Rhinolophus ferrumequinum: one gene and its partner. The protein of the gene in region 1 interacts with the protein of each later gene in a biochemical or structural test. Links are inferred from orthologs where the notes say so. Each region holds a gene or a part of one and is shown on either strand. Other genes may lie near its edges.

Region 1 (10,686 bases):
GAATCCCTGAAATGACATGCAAGTTTCAGGGCTACTTGCTTTTTCTTGGGGAGTTTCCACAGCTTTAGGGCTCAAAAGAGCCCTTGACTTTAAAAAGTTACACTCCACCAGGACTCTGCCCACACTTCTTAAATGCGTCATTAATCTCAACGCAGAAATAACTGATGCTCATAAAGCTGGCCGTGAGTAATCAAGAAAAATCTTAAATCGTGTTAGTGTACTTTGGGCTAAACAAAAGCAAACCACACAGCTCAAACTCCAGCAACTTGTTAAGCCAATACTGACTCCTTACCCAAGAGTAAGGGGTACAGGAAACAAATGCTCATTTTATTCTTCAGCTTGGACTCTTACCACTGAAATCCTCACTTAAAATAACTGCTTAGAAAGTGTCTTAGAAGCTGTCATGAAGTTTCAAATTAATAGAATCCCCTGTGCAGACACTAAATGATCAATATTAAAAATATGTTATTACCAGTTGGGAGTGCTTTCAAAACAAGATAAAACTGTGGTTTAACTTCTTCTACAAGTAAGCCCAACCGAACCTAAGGTTTTAAAAATGAACTTACTTCAACTGTTCTCGGTCACCTTATTACTTCTTGACTCAACCTGAAGAACCAAACACAAAAAGTAAATACTAGGCTGGCTGTAGAGTAACCAAGTTTGGTCCCTGGACCTCCATTAAGTGCACATCTGGTCTAGGGTTAATAAAGGAATTCAAAATGGAAATACACAGTCCCGTCACCAGCGACTAAGCTTTCCACTCCACGTCTGACAATCTTTTTGTTGCTGCTCTCAGGTGAGGAAAGACGTCCTTAGTAATAATCATTCAAGGTCTAGGCTAGTTAAGGCCACAGTAACACTGCCTGAGTCAGCATCAATACCCTCTTAGACTAGACTTTCTCTCCCTTTCATGACACTCCACTCTAGCTAACTTATAAACCCGATGCCGTCCAGGGCCACTCTTTCATTTGTTAGGAATGCAGAGTAACTTACTCCATCTGAGCACACCAGTTGGGAAAACATCAAAATCTTTACCCTCACAATCAGACCAATATTTTTAAGTACACCACGCACATGACAATAGATTCTCCTTCAATTAAGTCTCAACTTTCTGAAATGTCACATACCAAAATAATAAATATTAACTTGTCCAGATTTTAAGTAAATGTCACATAAAGTGCTGCAACATCTTGAAAGTGAAGAAAAGATTGAACATAATCGTCAAGGAAACTTACTGTCCCAGGAATTAAAATACTTTCCCAATTGAGGTTCCTACCACGTAAGAAACTAAAAATTCCAAGCAAAGCCAGCTTTTATTTAAAAAAAAAACCTTTTTTATAAAAAGGGCATTGCTGAATATGGTACCAATGTTGTAACCTGTAGGCTTGGACAGGGAGGAAAGAAGTGTAACACTGATATAACTCACCGTTTGAACAAGCCCAACTTTTTAATCCCAATCCAAATTAAAAGCAAGATGTACTGGCTAAATGTATTTTCCTCCAGAGGATGTTTATTTTATTCTCCTTGTGGGAAAAATAATGCAAATTCTGACAAACCATAACTGTACTGGAATAACAGGTACCCATAACACTAAAGGAGGGAAAAGCTTCACCAATAGGAAGTCAGGAGGCAGAACTGTGAGGATGTATACACCTCCTCCACTCCTGACACAATCCTATAGACATGATCTGATCAGTGTTTGATGGTTTGGTGTTCGCTGTTCCAACTCAGTACTGAAAGAAACAGCTGATAATTTTTTCCAACAAGTCTGTGGAGATATATATACATCAGGCAAATTTCTTTAGTCTTTTCAAACAGAATCTCCAAATCTAAGACTTTCAGATTACAATAAAATGCTATTTTGACTTCCAACTTTTTAAAAATCCAGTCATGATTAATTCCAAAGGCTTGTCTCCTAAATGCCAGAGGTTCTGTCAGAAAGTTACTATAGATTAAAACCCACTTATGAGAAATAACCAGGTGTAATAAATGATCCTCGACGGTACAGTTTTAGACAAAGCTGCTGTTGTATTTTGCGGCCAACTGAGGGAATCTGAGTATGTCCCAGTAATAGATGAGATGAAAACTTCCCAAGCTAGCTGGCAGGGGAAAAACACCCCTTACAGAACTTTATATACAGTATGATCTCTTTTTTATTAAAACATACATACATATGCATACACAATTGCCTGGAAAGTGATGCAATGGTGATCTCTGGGTGGTAGGAATGTTATTATATTTGCTTCTCTGCATTTTCTGAGTTTCAACAATATACATGTAACACCACTTCTGTAATAATACTTTAAGTCACCAAGGGCTCCTTGACGTCAAACATCAGTATTTATGAAGTGCCTACTATAGGTGAGACACATGGAGATCTGCTTTTATTCTCATCAAGTCCTCCAAGATTTGTTTTGTTTTTTTTGGTTAATCCTTCTCCCCAAGCCTCTGGGCTAAGCAATAGTCATTTCTAAAATAATAGCATTTCCTTAAACCCCAAAGAGTTTTCTCTCTCTCTCACTCTCAGGCACACTAATCATTTTTCGCTGATTTCCCTTTATTGCTATTTTTTCAACCTTGCTAACTAACATAAAACTAAAACACTGGATTGTAGGCTGAAAACCTGTCAAGTGATGGAGAAGGAACTAATATCGTGGGGTTTTTTTCCCTTTAAAATGAACATCTAGCTAGTTTGTCAAAGTTAAAATCTCTGTGGCAATGAACCCAACTTTTCTTACTAGAAAGCAGCCGATGTATGCTCTTAAGATGGAATCATGTTCAAGTTCTACTGCATGTCAGGTAACAACCTTTATCTCGGGCCAGTGTAAGGATGAAGGGAGATATGGGAAAACATAACACTTAAATAGCTGAAAAAACTATTAGTTCTGAATGTGGAAGTGAAAATGCCAGATCATGTAAACATAAGCAAAATACCAAGCAATCAGAAAGTCATCTGATTTGAAAGTGACATTAAATGAGACTGAAATATTAGGGATAGAAGGGCAATAAAAATTCTAGGCTGCAGTTATTTGCTAGAAGGTTGTCCCCCCACAAGAATATCCTAAGTATCTCTCCAACATGTGCTGCCCACTCCCCAACAAATTATTGATGCACTAATTTAAGTGTGGTTACTTGGAAGGTTTCCTTTTCCACCTAGAAGTGATTAAATAATGGTTATCAGTGATTTTTATCAAAATGCAACTTACTAGAAGTAATCCCTAACCATTGGTGGATCACTACCTAAATCAGCTTTCAGGAAAATAATTTCCTCTGTCTCTTAAAACTAGTTCATTAGCTTTGTAAGGTATTAGCCTTGGGCTACGAGTATGTAACTAGAGAGCTAGTCTTTCACAGCGGGTTTCTAAAAAGGAAAAATAGATCACCTAATAAAAACCTCTGGGAAAGAAGCCCCCAAGCGTTCCCATCAAAGGAAACCTCAGATTCTCTCCCAATTTCCTGAAAATGTAGCTGTTTTAAGTCATTCGACTGCAGCTATCACTTTACAAAAAGAAATTTTAAATTCCCTCTTGGCCGGAGTAAACAGGGCGACAGATCCCCGTCCCCGCCGAGGCGAGGTGGGGCGCCCGCCTCCTCCTTACTAGAAAGCCAGCCAAAGCTGCTTTTAAACGGCCTCCGGCTGACGACGCATTCCTAACGGGTTTCGAAGGCACGTTTAAATCGCCCGCTTTTTTGTTTGCTCGCTGCATTCACCCGGCGCCGGGACTGCGGCCGCCCCTGCGCGCCCGGGAGGGGGAGCCCGGGGTGGGAAAGCCTGGGCCCGGGTGCTGGGGAGGCGGGGTGACGAGAGCCGGGAGGACCCCGGGATGGGGGGCCCGCCTGGGAAGGGGAGGGTGTGGGGGGGTCTGAGGGGAGAAGGCTGGGACCCCAGGAGGGCGATGCGGGGATGTGGGGAGCTGGGCCGCCGCCCCGCGCAGAGAGCACACCGCGCGGCTCCCGCCACCCGCCCGGGTGCACGCAGGGCCGCGGCGCCGCCCCCTCCCGCCCTCCTTCCCTCTGCTCCCGAGGCGACAGAAACAACAGCGCGGGAGGAGGGGAAAGTAACTCCCGGCACCTCCGCCGGAATTAGCCCCGGTGCAGTGATGACACCTTCTCGTGGCGCAACCAAGCGCCGCTCCCTCCGCAGCGACGTCCCCGCCGCCGCCCTCTCCATTCGAAAGTGGCCACCCCCCGCCGCCGCCGCCGCTCCTCCCGCCCCGCCGCCGCCAGCTGCACCAATCCGCTCGGCCCCAGTTGCAAATCAAACGCTCCCTCGCGTCCAGAAGCCACTTGCGCCGCTGGAAACGGCAGCGCCGTCCCCCTCCCCGAGTCCCTCCCGGGCGGCACCTTCGGGCTGGGCGGGCGCTCGGCGAGAAACGGTTGTGCGAAGGGAGCGGCGGCGAGCAGCCCCGAGCGGGCTCGGCTCCCGCTCCCACTCCCGCCCCCAGACAGTTCTGGAAACTGTGTATCACCTCTGTCACAGGAAGCCATCCGGCTAGGAAGGCGGCGCGGAACCAACAAACAAACGCCTGCGGCCGCCTGCCGGAATCGGCGCGGGGACAGCCACGGGCTTCGAGCCTTTCTCTGGGCGGGGGCGCGGCGGTCGCCCCCACGCCGCGGGCTTTGTGCGGGGCGGGCGCGGCCGGCCGGGCGTCCCCGCCCCTGTAGCCCCCCACCCCGGGCCCCGGCAGCGCTGCTGGGACCGTTAGGTGACGCTCCGGCCGCGGCCGAGAAAGCAGCGCCTCGGCTGCCGCCCGCCCCCATTTCCACATGGAGCCGGCTCTCCTCCAACGCCAGAGGCGGGCTACAAAAGTTGGCCCCGGGGCCACCCAGCACCTGCCCACGTGCCGCGAAGGCTCGCTCCCGGGTCTCCCCCTTTCCCTCCCCCCCCCCCGCCGCCCTCGGCCGCCAGGTCACCTATTACCGGTGGGAGGGGAGAGAGGCTATTTAAACGCCCGCGGAAGTTGAGGCACCCCCACCGGCGGGTGCCGTGCACCTGCCTCCCGCCGCCGCGCTCCGCCACTTTGAGCAGCAGCCGAGTCCTCGGCCCCGCCTCCTGCCCGCAGGCGGGCGGGGGGGAGCGGGAAGGAGGTGGAAGGGATCGAATTTCTCCAGCAAATGGGACCGTTCCGACAGGATTCGGTTCCCCGGTCAACATTCCACATTCCATCCCTCTCCCGCATTTGCAAGCCAGCGCCAACAACCCGGAAAGCCTGCTGGCTCCCGAACAACAGCCCCCAACTCACAAACACACTCACAGGCATAAGACACGTGCACTAAAGGGCTTTGCAACTTGCAGTACCGGGGTACACACTGCACGTTCATTTAAGGCAGCGAACACCAAGCGACCCCACCCCCACAATTTGCAGATGGTGCCAAAGGTTTCAATTTGCAATCCGTTTTAAGTTCATGGTTAATCGGTACTTTGCTCTATCAATGCAACTCCTTCCTCATTTCACCGATGGAAGGTTTTACACTTTACAGGCAGTCTCGCTGTAAGTAAAAGGTCTGATCATTGGAAACCCAATTTGGAAGAATCTAAATTGCCAAGCTGTCCCTCCACCCCCTACTCACTGCCCTTGAATAGATGCAATGAATATTTTGGACATGTGGTGACGCGGTGACAAGAGCCGGGGCTGCGGCCACCCTACACAAATGTACCTACACACACACACACACACACACACACACACACACCTATGTTTAGAGAAATCCAGTCGTCCCCCCTCCACGGTCACACACACTCTGGATTCATATATGTATGCGAACCTGCGTTCTGCCATTGCCATCTGTCTACCAAGTTGCTACTATGCTTTCCACTTTCATGCAGCCTAATGCACTTTGGGGATTTTTTTTTAATTTTATAAACTAAAGCCAACTCAACTCGGCGTCTGCGCCTGAACGCGTTTAATTGATGCTTCACCTGAAAACCGCATGTTCTTCGCAAACCCAAAAGAAAAAGCTGCAAGTCTTCAGCCCCCCCAAAATGGAAAAATAATCGTAATAAAACTTACTGATCCAACATAAATCAATTCTCAGGCTCCAAAAATCATCCTCTCTTCCACCTCCTCCTCTGGCCCCCGCCCCGGCAATGCCCAAGTTACTGGTGGGATAGTAAGGCTGCGCTCGGCGGCTGCCTGCCCTCCCTCCTCGCTACATATCGAGAACCCAATCTTTTGGCGCCATATTAATGACGTACTATATTATTTCCACTAGGCAGCGACCTTCGGCATTAAATTACTCCCGAGAACTCCCGAGCAAAGCAACAAAACCATCAAATATGGCTGAGCCTCTCGGCTCGTCCTGCAGCCGCCGCCGCCGCGGGATCGGGACGCGCACACGGACCCACACGCGGACACACGCGCGGCGCGCCCCCCCGCGCGCCCCCCGCGGCCCGCGCGCGTACCTGCTGCGGAGGGGTTCGGCCGAGGCGCTGGGCTCCGCGCCGCTCGCTCGGTGCCGCATGAGTTCGGGCCGCGGAGGGCGGGCGGGCGGGCGGGGAGCCGGGCGGGCCCCTGCGTTCGCCGGCGCACACACACTCGGCACTCGCGCAGGGAGGCACTCTCGGACGGGCGTTTGGCTTGTTATGGAGGAAGGACTGTGTGAATCAAACTCATTTCTGGGTCACTGCTGCCACAGGGGGGAGCACTTTAATCCCTTGCCAAAACGAGAGGGTGGGGACAGGAGGGCGGAGGGAGCGCGCGGGGAGCCCGCGGCGCGGGGGGCTCCGTCCCTCCTTAACTCTTCGCGGCCCTCGCCGCAGCTGGTTCGGCCTGCGTCCGCGAGGGCTAGCGCTGCTCAGCTTTTAAAATCTCTTCCTTCACCTCCCTTGTGAGGCTAGAAATTCTTGAGGTGTCCCCAGCAGGGAGGTGGGCTTTTACATTATCTCCAAACTGTCTCACTTCCAACTCTTGTCTGACTGCACGGCACCTAGACATGGATTCTTTCAAATTAGTTTAAAATTATGTAGATAAAAATGTGGCTATTAAGGCGTACAATTTGGGTGAAAGGATTTATTTTTAGACTGAATAGCAAAATAAATAGTTCTTCTGTTTTGTAGTAACAGTTTTAGGGAGTTGTGAATTAGCATGACATTTTTAGATCCACTGAATCCAACTTTGGAGCTGGAACACGTCTTTACCTAAGTTAGTATCGAACTGATAATTGCAGATGAGCGTTAATTCATTAGGAGACTGATTATCAACTGACACCACTTTTCTGTTCCACAGGACAAGTATTACAGGACTGGACGTAGCCTTCCATATAGGAGACTTGAGCCTAATGCTAAAACTGGAGTTGCAGACTAATATAAAATTAGTCATCAGAGATTCATTTGGGGGGGTATTTATGTATAAAAATGAGTGTTACTGATTTTCCACAGACTACAAACTTGCTTTTTCATGTTTTTAACATTTCTTTCATGTACCCCCCTAAAGAATTATGGGTGTATATGACATTCAGCTTCAAAAGGTACGGATAAAAACTCCCATTCAGTAAACAGGAACAGTGATTACTAATTACAAAATTGAATATCGAACCCAAAGGTATATACTTATGCACTGGAAGAATTCTGAATATCTCAGGTTGGATTTCACACAATCACACACCAACCCATCCATCCACATCAAGAACATAATAATCTGATAAATGCATCAAAACAAAATTAATTGAGCCGTTCAATTATTTTTCAGAAAACAAAGTAAGCCAAAGGAAATCTTAAGTAGAGACATATACTGTTTCACTCACGAAGGATACAAAGACACCACATCAGCCCTATTCATGTGCTTACTTAATCCTGTTCAAAGAGATCACACATGTAAAGCACTATGTTATCATTATTACTATTATTAGTATCGCTTTGCAGTTATTATTTTCATTGTTTCACCTTACACATACTCTACTGTAGAAGTAAAAGCACACAGGTGGTTTGTAGCCAGACAGATCCTGTCTTGGACCTGGCTCTACCAGTTATCAGCTTGTGTGACTGTGGGGTAAATTACAGAACTCTGAGCCTCCATTTCTCCATAAGTAATAATAAAATGAGGTTAACAACCCCTACCTAAAAGGTTGTTAAGGGGAATGAGACAACCCCATAAAACTGCCCAGCAGAGGCCAGGGCAGTAGGAAGTTATCAGCTCCTTTGGCCATCCCTCCCATATGCCTTTCTTGATCTTCTTTCCATGGAAAATTGTAACTTCTAAATTCCAGCCAGACTTTCTTCACTCATTCTCCCTAAAAGAAAATTTTAAATCACATTTGTCACTTGCAGTTTTACTCATTTTTCTGACTATCCCCACTCTCAAAACATCAGGCAACTAAATCAAAGTACTGAGTAAATGGATGAAATAAATAAAGAGGTAAAACAGCACACAAATGTCCCATGTTGATACACTGATCAGGACTGATGTTCCCAGGGACATCCTCTCAACGATGCCAATTCTTCAGAATACTATGGGTGAGGTAGTGCCATGTGCTGTAAAACAGTCCTGGACTAGAAGTCAGGAGACTCCCATCAGCCCACACTAAAAATCTCTTTGGGCCTTAGTTTCCCCACAGAGATTGATAGATAAGATCAAATCCAACTTCTAATTTTTTATTGTTCTTACCAAACTTAAAAAGTGATTATTTGAAGAAATGGAAGACAATTTGAATCAGTGAGGAACATGTAAAAAGATATTTGGTCATTAATGATCAACTGTTGACATTTTTTAAATAATAGCTGTCTTTTGCTATCAGACCACTGAGGCAACTTTTATAAACCTATTTTTAAAATGGGAAAGGCAATGACACAGTTTGCCTTTCAGCAGTACAGGTAATGCAGTCTAGAATAAGAAGTATTAAGCTGACAGCTAGGAATATATGTTTCTGGTTCCACTCTGTCACTTACTGTCTTCCGGTACCAAATCATTGAGGATCACCGTAAAGTTGTTAATCCACACTTTATTATCATGGATGAAAGGACATTCAAGAAAATAGCTACATAGTAGTAAGTGTAGTTGAAATATCAGATTATAGTATTTTCTGATATGATCAGTGTTCTTCGTGATAATTATAATTCTACATATCCCTTAAATTTTGCTATAGTCATACACAGTTTAATTATTTTCTTCCATAATAATGGACTTTTATGTAATAAAATTTTGGATATTTACATTCATATTCCTGATTTGGGAACCATACATGATTACACTTACAGATGTTTACTTGTTATCTCGTTTGTGTTTCCTCTGTAAGTAAAGAATTATAAGACCTTGACAAGAGATTCAGAATTGTTCATATTTGAAGGGAGGTAGATGCATGCACTAAAGTCCAATCTATCTCATTCCTTTAATAAAATGTGCAAGAAATTCTTACTGGCCAATATCATTGCCAGTTGGTACGCATTATGACGCATAGAGAGAATTTTTTAGTGCACAAGTGGTCTCATGAATAAAATGGGTTGTGTTCTAAAACTTTATTTGTACTTTGTTTGGAATTTTGAATTTATGCCCCAAACAAAACATGTTATAAAGAGGTCTTAGGTTGTCAAGTAATTAAAAAAAATTAATAACTAAATGACAGAAAATAACTTTTTATTGACATTTTTAAATGATATTATTTGGGTGGGAAGGGATGTGTTTCAAAGCGGATAAGTGGGCATACTTTGAACAAGAAGAGTAAAGTTGGGAAGCCTATTCAGCCTATGCCTGAACCCCATGAGAAGAAATAGGAGGTCATGGGTAAAAGATTAGGACTAGAGCTCCTTGTCTGGCCAGTCGATGAGGCCACCAGTCCGGAACAGCCAGGTAAGTGGTTACAACCTTCAATTATAAGAAATGATTGAGTGGAAGGCCAATAACCCACACGTTTTTTGTTGGTGTCAGTACCCACTAAATTATTTTTTTCTTGAGGTTCTTTCTTCCTTTTTTTTCCCCCTTTGCTTGTTTTTGATTTTGGTTGTCTTAATTTTGTTGATTTTCATACTTTTAGCACAAATTAAGATACCAAAGAGAAACAAGTCTGAAGCCAGGTTGAGGGGCGTGGGGGTTAGTGTTGCGGTTTTTTAAAAAGTTTTTTTTACAAAAACTCGGGCTTTGTATGGAGAATGGATGTGTGGAAGTGAGACAGAGTTGGGGAGGCTAGATATGAGGCTTCTGCGATGACCTGGTGAGAGAGAGGGACTTGGATCACAGTCACTGCTATGGAGACAGTGGCACCGGCCTGTGATGGAGGCACAGCTCACTGCTCCAGCCCTTCCAAAGTCTCCAGCTTCCCAGGTCAGTGCCTGCTCTGGGAAGGGGAGAGAGCTCCTTCCTCCAGCCAATAAGGGATGTCTAGGGCACCGGGGGAGGGCTCCCACTAAGTACAAGCTATCAAATGGGGAGAGCAGCATCTAGGGGACCAAACGGAGGTCCTGCTGTACAGTGAACAGGCAGAAGCTTGTGCCATAAAACAAAATAATCAGCTTTTCTGCCCAGTTCCCATATCAGGTCAGTTAGCAATTTTTACTTAGTCTTCCACAGAGATATGCTAATCATGAAAGGAATCTAAGCTATAGCTAGGAATTGCTGAAAACAGCCTCCCTGCTAGAAACTAACCCCCCGAAGGTGAGAAGGAAGGTATGTACAAAACTAATGATTGTTTATCAAAAGATTTCTAGGAACGTGGTGCCTGGGACCACGGCAACTAGAGTTTGTTGACCAAAAGAAG
Region 2 (10,540 bases), on another chromosome or scaffold:
GCTCATGTTATTTCCTAGCTGTTTTGAATATTTAAAACTTTGGTGTTCAGGGCATGGCCAACTACACTTTCTAACAACTTTATGCCCTTTCTCTTGAATATTCGTATACTGTTCCTTCTGCCTATAATAACACTTTCCCATCTTTCAACTTGTAAATTCCTACTAGATCCTTTAAGATTTCCATCTGGGAATCCTGCCCTAGTTTGGCTGCCCCATATCTGGGCTTTCACAGTACTCTACGCAAACCACTCTCAGAGCCCTTACCACAATGCATTACAATGATGAGTTTATGTATCTCTCACTAAACTGTGAGCTCCTTGAGGGCAGAAACTGATTTTTCTCTCATGGCATTCCAGTTCCTAGTATAGTACCTGAATTATAGTACCATTTATCAATATTCTCATTGTGCTAAAAACAAAACTTAAATTAAGAAAGCAAGAGACAACAGTTATACTTTAGATGAAATGTTAAATTCAAAATAAAGCTTTTTTTCTCTCATCTTGCAACATGCTCACATAGCAGTAACCAAATCAGCACTATTTAAGTGCTCAAAGTATATCACGTTCCCCCGCCCTTAATCTATTATCATCTATTGATGATCAGCTTTCTATATTAACTGCAACCTTCTTTCCTCCTTATGAGAATCCAGAACAGAGCCAGGCAGGGTCAGGGGTACCCTGCAAATCTAAGCCCAGATGGCTACTTGCACTAGAGAACCTTCCAACACCGAGATTCTCTATTGTTTACTACCAAAGCAAAATCCTGGGCACTTACAACTAATAACTAGGTCAACTATTTATACCTATTAATTGCGTATCTGACTATATTACAGCCTTAAACATTTGGTTTTACAAGTACTGGGCCCCCTCCAATAATGAGTTCAAGGGACTACTTTAAGTCCCTAAGTCTAAACCATTCTAACAAAAGGAAAAGATAACATCTAAAAAAAAAAAATTAAATGACTCAAGACAGACATACAATGTATCATACATCCATTATACCAGACATAGTTCCTTTGGGTCTACAAAATGGACAGCAACCCCAACGGGACCATTTTTAAAGACCTGACACTTCTGCAGTCATTTCCTTTGCATTTTACCAGATTCTGTCACTACATCAAGCCAAGGGACCAGTTTCCACATTAACCAGCACAATATGATGACCAGTCAGTGAGTTGTGAGACATAGTCAGTAAGAAGGAAGCCTTTACCTTGAGAACTCTGGCTCAGCCGGGCTGAGGAGCGGGTGACGCGGGCAGATCGCCGGGATGTGCCATCACTCTCTGAACTGTCTGTGTGCTCGAGATCTGTAGAAAAATCGGAATCTTCGGTTCCATCTGAACTACTGCCTGCATTCCTCTGTAACACCATAGATCCAGACATTAGCACAGAAGCATTTACTCTGTGGGTTTATATTAACACTGGAAATAAAACGAACTGTGATGCCAAAAACACCAACTTCAAACCTAAAAAAGGATTCCACAGCCAACTTCCTGTTATTTAGAGCATTTAAGTGGAACAACCTAGAAATAACGTACCTTTATTAAATAAATGAAGGAGAATTAACTCTTGCTGTATTAAGACAAATTTAATTCTAAAACAAGTCTATTTGGAGGTCAGTATTACAAACTGGAAACAAATGTACCCAATTCAAAAAGGTATGGCTGCCATAACTATGGACTTACAGAAAGTCCAAGGTACTGAGAAAAATGTTAGACCCCATTTAACTTTAGGGTAGCTCTGGTTCAAAGTCTCCATGAACAGTCATCACATTTTAAAAAGCCATATACACTGATTCAAAATATCATGGTCACAACTCTGATCCCAAAAGAACTTAAGCATAAAAAGAATAAAATTCTTCTTTCTTATGTTATCTATATTTGAAGTTTCTCCACGAGTGCCAAAGGTGCTTACAAAAATAAAAACAAAAAAGGCAGCTTGTACACAAAGACTTGTAGGCATTCAGAAAGAGGATTTTTAGCTTCCTTAGGCATGATTAGCCATAAGCACAGTTTTTATCAATTGAGCGTTAACACTAAACCAGAAAGGAAAGCTTATTTGCTAAAAAAAACAATACAGAGCTTCAGATTACAAGTCTCCTATTCTTTATTCAAAAACCTTAGGACTTTATTTAGAATTTCATTATTTTTTAGATTTTTGGAAAGACAATACTTTGCATATATCCTGCAAATAACAGCCCATAATTAAACACATTAGTATTCCTGCAGGAAAATATATAATCACACTACCAAGGAGACCCACAAAAAATATAAGTAGCCTCCGGACAGTTTAGGACAGGTTTTGCCACCAAATAAGTTACAAAAAAACTTCCATTTTCAAGAGTTCTTTGTATTTGCGGGGGGGGGGGGGGGGGGGGGGGACTGTGGACCTATTCCAAGCAAGGCACCAATACTATTCCTGCATTTGGTGAGCCTTAACATAAGCACCACCTAGCAATGTAGGTCATTTTAGAAGACATTAAAAAATATATTTTATTTGAAAGCCTCTGTGAAAATAAATATTTCTGCAGAAATGAGCAAGAATACTACCCAGCTTTCCAAATAGTTCAAGGGTAATCTGCCCAGAAATGAATGGACATCACAGAACATCCAGAGGAAGAAGGGGGGGGTTAAAGGTCATCTAGTCCAATTACCCAGATACTTGAATCCCTGATTATCTCTGACCATCCCTTCCTGGCTCCATCCTGGAACTCAGCTCTTCTCTTCAGCTTCCACCAATCTACTTCCCATCTTACTCCAGAGCAGACTGACTTACTCCCTCACTTCCCTCCCCTAACTCTTTGTACATATACTTCTAAGTAGAGAATTTACTGGATCTTGTTTTCCCCCATCAGACTGTGATTTCCTTAAGCCAGGGATCATGTCTAATTAATTTCTGAACCCCCAGCAACCAGAACACTGCAAGTAGTCAATAAACATTTGCTGAATTGAATCTGTTCTGCAGTGCTGGCTCTGCCACCGCCTAAATGAGTGGCTTGGGACACTCCAGTAGGCCTGTTTGTTCAGCGGCAAAGAGATGGGGGTGTCCCAAAGAGATCTCATAAGTCCGGTATAAGTTTCTGAATTTACTAACTGCATTTTCTAGGGCCTGTCCAACTAAGCAAATAAGCAAAAATTACGGCTTAGATGCAATAGGACAGAGTGGGATCCCTTGGGAGTGGGCGCTGGTTCTTTGCCACCCACTCTTCTGCTTTGTTATGCCCCCCGCCCGGAAAAAAAAAAAAGAATGCTCCCAAACTCCGCCTCTCCACCTATCAGCATCAGCAGCCAGAAGGGCGTGGATTCGTGCCATCCAATAGTGGTCCCGCTAAACCGCGCCCCCACGGGACAGACTGCCAAGCCCAGCCAATCAAGAGAGGAGAGATCGCTCTCTACAGCCAGTCTGAAAGTCGAACAGCCTGGCCCAGACACCGCCCCCGCACGCGGGGAGGTGACCGTTGGGCCCAAATGGGCGGTGTCATCAGCCAATCAATATGCTTCTAGACGTTTCAGCGACCAATTAACGAGAAGAACGCCTCCGAGCCAGGCAAGCAGAGGGCGGGAATAGTTGCAAGCACAGGCCGAGGCCAGGGTCGGGCCCACATTTTTCTGTTGGGTATGGACAGAAGAGAGGGTTGCCAAGCTAGGTTCCGGGGAGCGGGAAGTTGGAACCCAAGGAGTGTGAGGCGTGGCCAACTGCGTCACGTTGCCCAGTCGACTGTCCTTAGAAACCCGCCATCCCTCCTGTCCCGTTCTTACCTTCCTTCGCGGCATTGCCGGCGGCTGCGGCCCGACGGTTCCGATTCGGGCAGCGGCGGCAGCAGCAGTAGGAACGGTGGCTCCGGCGGGCTCCGTGGCGGCCACGGTAGCAGGCCCAATCCTGCGGACGATCCCAAGTGCCTCCTGCTTCACAGCGTCTAGAGCTTTCTGCGCAGGCGCCGCGGGCTGAGGCGCTTTTTCCTTCACTTCCGGCTGAGGCTCACGTCACCTGACGTTACGGGCCAGATGGGTGCTGGGAAGTTCGCTCCTTCTGGTGAGGCTAGTGAGCGCCATGCTGGAATTGGGCACAAAGTAGAAACGGGGGCCAGCCATTTCTAGTTAGGGGAATGGCACCCTTTGTGGACGTGAGTAGCCATTATTGTTTGGGGCAGAAGCCTGACAGTTGAAGTTAACTCTTCTCATCTTTACCTTGGGCAAAATTTCCCTTCCCGGTTGTTTTAATTTCTGAAATCGAGGCAGGAAACCCCCAGAATTCATCAGGTTGTTGAGATTTAACCCCTTCGTTGCCCAATTAGCTAAAGGATGTTTCCGTTTACCATATAAACTCAAAGTTGAGATGGGATATTTTGCACAAGAAACTATTTTAAGAACCACCCCGTGTCTCAAAGTGGTAGGAATGGGGCCTTGTAAAAGGAACAAAAGGATAGGGTCCATCATCAGGAAGTTTCTTGTCTGGTAGAGGAGACATTGTCCTTGCCCTTAGCGAACAGCAAGTAAGTCGTTCACGTCGCGGAAGGAGGCAGAACCATTCTCCAGAAGTTGTAGCTCCAAAGAATTCCCAGTTCTGTGGTGAGCGGCCACCTCCTTCCCCAGTTCTTATGGGTTCGAGAGCCCTGGGTGGCCCGCGGAAGGTGGATGCGTGGGGTGCCGTACCAGAATCGAAGAAGCAATGAACCCCATTTAGCCCAAATGGCCTCTGGAAATCCAGATGCTTGAGGCAGGAGTTGGGGGAGGTAAGAAGAAGAAGGAATAGTTTTAGTGAAGCTGAAGCTAAAAGAGGCATGTGTATTTAAATAATAATAATAGAGCCTGCTTTGAGAGGGCCCAAGAAGGAGAATCTGGTTAAGGATGTAAGGCTGGATGCAGAGCCTTAAGAAAAGGCAGGGAAGTGGAGAGCAGGCTTTGAGGATTTAAACTCGTTGGAGGAAAAGCCTTGAAAGGACCAAAGCTTGACCAAGAGCAACTGGGTGAAATCCAGGCAAGCTCAGTCATTAAGTTAGGATCCTGGACCCCGGTTTCACCTGAGGCCAACTAAGATGGAGATTTCCCAAAATGCAGAGCTAAAGAACAAAGCAGCAGGAGGTAAACATCTGATTGATGTGCTAAACAGAGTTAGAGTTCCAGGCCCTCAGCCAGCATTCTCCTTGGGGATATCCTAGGCAGGTTTTAACCCAGGCGGCTTTTAGTGTTTAGTATAAATACCTTCGAATAATCTACTTAGGTTGAACTGCACATAAGAACTTATTTGAAAAAGGCTTGAGTTGCTTGTTTGTGTATCCCCCACGCCCAGTACTTAAGCATTTAGTTTCACACTATTACTGTTATTTTGCACTCACTGGTGTGTTCCTGAGCTCATTCTTGGATGTCTGGCTCCCCAACTAGTGGTAAGGAGCTCTTATGTTAAGAGTATTTCTTTTCTTTTTTTTTTCAAGGAGGGCGCAGCTCACAGTGGCCCGTGTGGGGATCGAACTGGCAACCTTGGTGTTACTAGCACCACACTCTAACCAACTGAGCTAACCGGCCACCCCGTTAAGACCATTTCTCAGTTCTTTCTTACCATCCTTAATAGTGCCCACACCATGCTCTACCCACAGTAAGTGCTTGCTGGTCAATCAGAATGTTTACTGTTTCACAGTCTCTGAATGTATAGCACTCAAAGATGGTGAATTTAGTATTTTAGAATAAGATCGTACCCTAACTTAACCATTCATCATACAAATACCAGTCTTATAAATGTTTGACATTAGTTAATCTCTTTCATTAGATTTTCAAAACTGCAGCTAACAGTAAAAGAATTTACAGTTTCATTTAGACATGATTCTTGTCCTTGGAACGTGTACACTCTGGCGGCGTGAAAAAGCTAACACCAATAGGATAGAAATATAAGGAAAATGTGGACTTGAGATGAAAGCTATATATTTAGAATGGGGAAAGGGGAATCCTGAGAGCTATTTTCTTTCTTCCTTTCTTCTTTTGAACCAAACATAGTCTTTACTTCGAGTGTCCTTTTCGTCATGACACAGTTAACTCTTGAAGCCGGAACTGATACTGGTTTCAAAGGCTTTGACCAGTGCTCTTCTGTCCATCCTCATCTGCCAGACTTCACATAGGTAGCTCTGCTGTTCTTCCTGCCTCGGTACGTTTCCCAACCTTCTTTAAAATTTACTTTCTTCAGAAAGTCCTGATTTATTATTTCCTAGGTAGTAGAGCATGCTATGGTATTTTGCACTTACTGCTACATTTACACTTTTTCTCATACAATTTGGTAGCTCTTCTGTTCTCCTCTGTCCCTCCCAGACAAATAATAGGAACATAGAACTCCTATTTGTTTATTCATCAGCTCTACTAGTGTCCAGTACAGGGCTTTGATGTCAGACCTGGATTTGAATTTCAGCTCTGCCACTTTCTATCTGCATTGCTCTTGGACAAGTTTTTAAATTTATCTGTGCCTCAGTTTTCTCATTTGTGACATGGAGACACTAATAGCCACCTCACAGGGTTGTCGCCAGGATTAAAGGAGATGATTGTTGTAAAGCACAGTTCCTTACCAAGTAAGTGCTCAGGAAATGGTCGTTGTTATTCATATTTATTATTCCAGTCACCCTAGTCATGGCTATGACATCGTAATGTTTGTGAATATATCTTTATATGGTCTCAATGGCTCTTTGCTTTTGTCTGTTCTACTTCAGCTCAAGAGACACAGAATAATTACCCAGGCATTGTATACCAGGCATTGAGTCACGCCACTGAGGACAAAACACCATGCTTCCCCAGGCCAGTAAGCTCTTTGTTCCAAAACACTATGGAGTATTATTAATAGGAAAACAGAAGGATGAGCAAGCTTCGGAAGTGGTGCAGAAGAGGGAGTGGAGTGTTTTGACTGGAGAGTTTAGGAAAGGATTGATAGAAGAGGTGAAATAAGAGTGGGATTTTATAGGACAAGTACGTTTACCAGTGGACAAGGAGAATAGGGGCTTTCTGTGCAAAGGAAACAGCATGTGTAAAAGCACAGAGAAGTAGAGCAGCATTGTGTGTTGTGCGAGTGACTAACGGCATGGTGGAGTTGCCAAAAAAAGAGACAGGAATGATTTGGGGAACAAGTTCATGCAGAGCCTTGAATGCCCTGCTAAGGAGCCTGGCCTGGAGGTGATGGAGAATCGCTGAAGGACTTTAAGCAGAGGAGTCCCACGATCACACTTGCACTTCAAAGATCTCTTTCTGGAAGCCGTGATGGATACTGAACAGAGTGGCAGGGAGTCCTGAGGCCAGGAGACCGGTTACAACGCTGCTATAATAACATTCCCTGGAGTGGAGGGAGAACTGAACAGGGCAAGGGTAGTGGGGCCAATCCTTTGGGTATGTCCTTGTGCATTTTCTTTCTTGTAACTATATCTTGTCTCCTCAGTTACATTTGTGAACTCCCTAAAAGATCCCTCAATTTCCTTTCAAATGCTCCCCTTGCCAGTAAAATGATAGGTCCCATATTTCAAATAAAAAGTGTAGTTGTTCATTGTTTGCTTCAAAGGCCTGGGAGCTCATGGAGGTTGGGAGCCTTGCCTGGCTGGCCACACTGTCTCCAACTTCAGTCTCGCAGCCTGGCATCTAAAAGGGCTCAGTAAATGGGGTGGCCACTGCCACGTGTTGGCTCAGTTAGGAAAGACTTGCACAGAACCAGCCATCATCTCTCCTCTAAGCCTCTTTTTGACTATGTGCCTAGGGGGAGTTAGGAACAACAGTTTCCCTGTGGACGGATAACTAACTGTCCTGTAAGGTGGGCACGCATGCCTTGACCTTTTTAAGACAAAGCTAGAGTAGCCAGGCCAATCTCGTAACTTCTGAGTACACGTATGGGTGTAGTCTTTATCCCTTTGGGAGACTCTTAGAGGTTGCTGATGTGACCACAATTCATAGTAAAATCTTTTCATCAACATAGTCATGACGGTCACTAATGGTCCTTCCTTTTTTACTCTTGCCATATATGGCCTGGGACTTCTCTTACCTTCTTGGCCACTTGTTCATTTGGTTCTGGTATCACTCTTATCCACCACGCACCCCCAGCCCCACCCTGGGGGAAGGTGTTGGACAGAGCCCAGCAGGCTCAGGCACAGCTCCCCGCCTCTGCAGCTGGGATTATAAATAACCACCAAAACTAAACAGTCAAATAACTGCATTTTGAAAATTGCTCAAAAAAAAAAAATCACTCTGATCCTGATTCAGTAGCTGTTCTCCTATTCCTGCCCATCATCTCCCGCCTTCCTCCACCATCTACCTCCCTTCCCTGATCCAAGCTCCCAAGGGAAGTCAATCTGCATAAAGCCGTGGTATGATGAAGACATCTTTTTCCATATTTGACAGGGCCAAAGCCCTCCAGGGCTGTAGTTATAGTTACACGACGTTGTTATGGCAGCAGAGGCCTCAGGGCAACATATGTTCCTGGGTGGTAATTGGGTTTGCTTTAACAGACGGTCTCTCCCTGGGTTCTCCATGCCCAAATTCACTTATCAAGACAACCAGGGAATTGCCATTATGGATGGGCCTACATTTTTTTATTCCAGCAAAACCAAATTCCTCTTTATTCCCCAGGATGGAATGTACCCAGTCATCATGGGTTGAGACTTTTTAGACTTTAGGCATTTTCATTTATTCATTCAACAGCTATTTATTGAGCATCTGATAAGGGCGAGGCATTGGGATGGGAACTGAATGCTCACTGTGAATAAATAGATGTGGTCCTTCTCCTCCTCAAACTGATGATGTGGGACAAAGTGTATAGCAGGGGGCTGGGGGAGGATGACTCACCTGCCCCAACCCCCTCCACTTTTCAAAAATTATTAACCCAGTGTAATAACACTACCTTTTTAAGAAAATAAAAGACATTCTTAAGCTCAGTGCTACCACAAAGCTATTTTTATTTTTTATATATTGCCTTCCAATTTTTCTCCACGTTTTTATTACATGTGCATATTTTTGTATAGATGCATTCATTGTTTACATGAAATTTCATATTTTTTACACATTCTCAACATTTTCCATGTTCCTCTAATAGTCTTCATAATTGTAATCACTGTGTAGCATTACCTTGTACTGTGGCATAATGTACTCTCACTCTGCTACGTGAGGTTATTGAGGGTGTTTTATGTTAGATAATGTTGCAGTGAGTATTTGCATGCATTTGTAGCTCTCTCTTGCTTTTATTTCTACCTCTTACATATTGCTTGATTTCTTTCCCCAAAGACTTGGCCACATTTAAAGTGTCACCATCATTGTGTAAGGGTGCTAATTTTAAGACATTGTTCCCAGAACTGAGTGTTACCACTTTAGTAGAAATGAAAACTGCACTTCAAATGTGCTTTTAATTTTGTTGCTGTAGTTAAGATACACTTCAGTCTTCCATGTGTGTATTTACAAGTTCTGTTTCCTCTTCTGTGAAATCCTATTATTCATTTCTCTACTGGGTCTTAATGATTTTTCTTTTAAGTTTGAATTATAGATAGATAGATAAATAGATTCTCTGTCTGAGCCACATTCAGTTACAGAGTCAGTGTTATTAAGAAGGCACAACATTTGCTTCATGGTTATTTCTCTAGTCTTTTTCTCCTCACTTGCGCTCTGGCTTTCTAGTTACCTAGTGGTAAACTCTTTGTCAAGTATGCATGCTATTGAGAAAGAAAATGCGATTGTGAACAGAATGTGTAGATGGCATATGTGATACAATGAAGAGGCAGGATATGTCTGACTTCAGCAAGAGTTGAGGGCTATTTTACAGACTATAGTCATTCTTGCCCACTGTAGGAACCATGAAGGTGGTTCTGCAGACACTTTTTATTTTCCTGGGAGAAACTGAGTCCCAGAAAAAAATGTTTCCCAAACCAGTCAACTTCAGGGGGATGAAAAATGACCTGCATGCTGTCATTTGTAAACTGTGGGTCATTTGCTTTGTTGGGAGATGCCTTCCCAGGAATGGGGCCCAGGAATGGGGCCCTCTGAGTCACTTACACATGCTTATCCAGTCTCCCTTGTGACTAACTGTACCCAGATGTGAATCAACTGGCCAAGGTGAGGGATGCAAGCTATAACTAGGAAAAACATTTCTATATTCAAAGCAAACCAGCACATACATGTTCCAAATCCACAATCTTGGTCTTCTAAGTTTTGCTCTAATCAACTGAGGTTACTGATCTCAACCCAGTCCCAGGGGTTAAGAATGATTTTCTCACTTCTCTGGAAGTTACTTGAGGATGAGTGGGCATCTGGTCATTTTCTTATCTGCCTAGCTTTGCCAGTAGATGTCACTACACCAAACCACATTCTCTCCAAAGATAGGACTGGAAGGAAAAAGAGGGCTTCAGAAAGGCTGAGTCTAACCATCATGACCCTCTTCTCCCATGGCTTCCATGAATACATCTGGAAAACTCGCAAGGATATGTAAATATACATGGTTCCAGACAGTACGGGGGCCTGTACTCAGCAGGTCAAACCCCAGGTGCTGGACAGAGTTAGAGTTCTTATCCAGGGGCCTTTCCCAGACTGGGTGGGGAGCACA

Evidence for each region.
Region 2: the proteins of JADE1 (region 1) and KAT7 form a complex in vitro, tested with the Homo sapiens proteins (2 studies listed by BioGRID). The link is inferred for Rhinolophus ferrumequinum from reciprocal best matches to the Homo sapiens genes JADE1 and KAT7.

Annotation. Positions count from the first base shown.
Region 1 is NC_046301.1:9,160,750-9,171,435, reverse strand, and holds the start of JADE1 (protein Jade-1), read right to left. Parts: upstream 4,492-10,686; 5' UTR 4,489-4,491; coding exon 4,470-4,488; intron 1-4,469.
Region 2 is NC_046304.1:33,630,145-33,640,684, forward strand, and holds the start of KAT7 (histone acetyltransferase KAT7), read right to left. Parts: upstream 3,963-10,540; 5' UTR 3,772-3,962; coding exon 3,757-3,771; intron 1,358-3,756; coding exon 1,210-1,357; intron 1-1,209. UniProt on the Homo sapiens protein: Catalytic subunit of histone acetyltransferase HBO1 complexes, which specifically mediate acetylation of histone H3 at 'Lys-14' (H3K14ac), thereby regulating various processes, such as gene transcription, protein ubiquitination, immune regulation, stem cell pluripotent and self-renewal maintenance and embryonic development.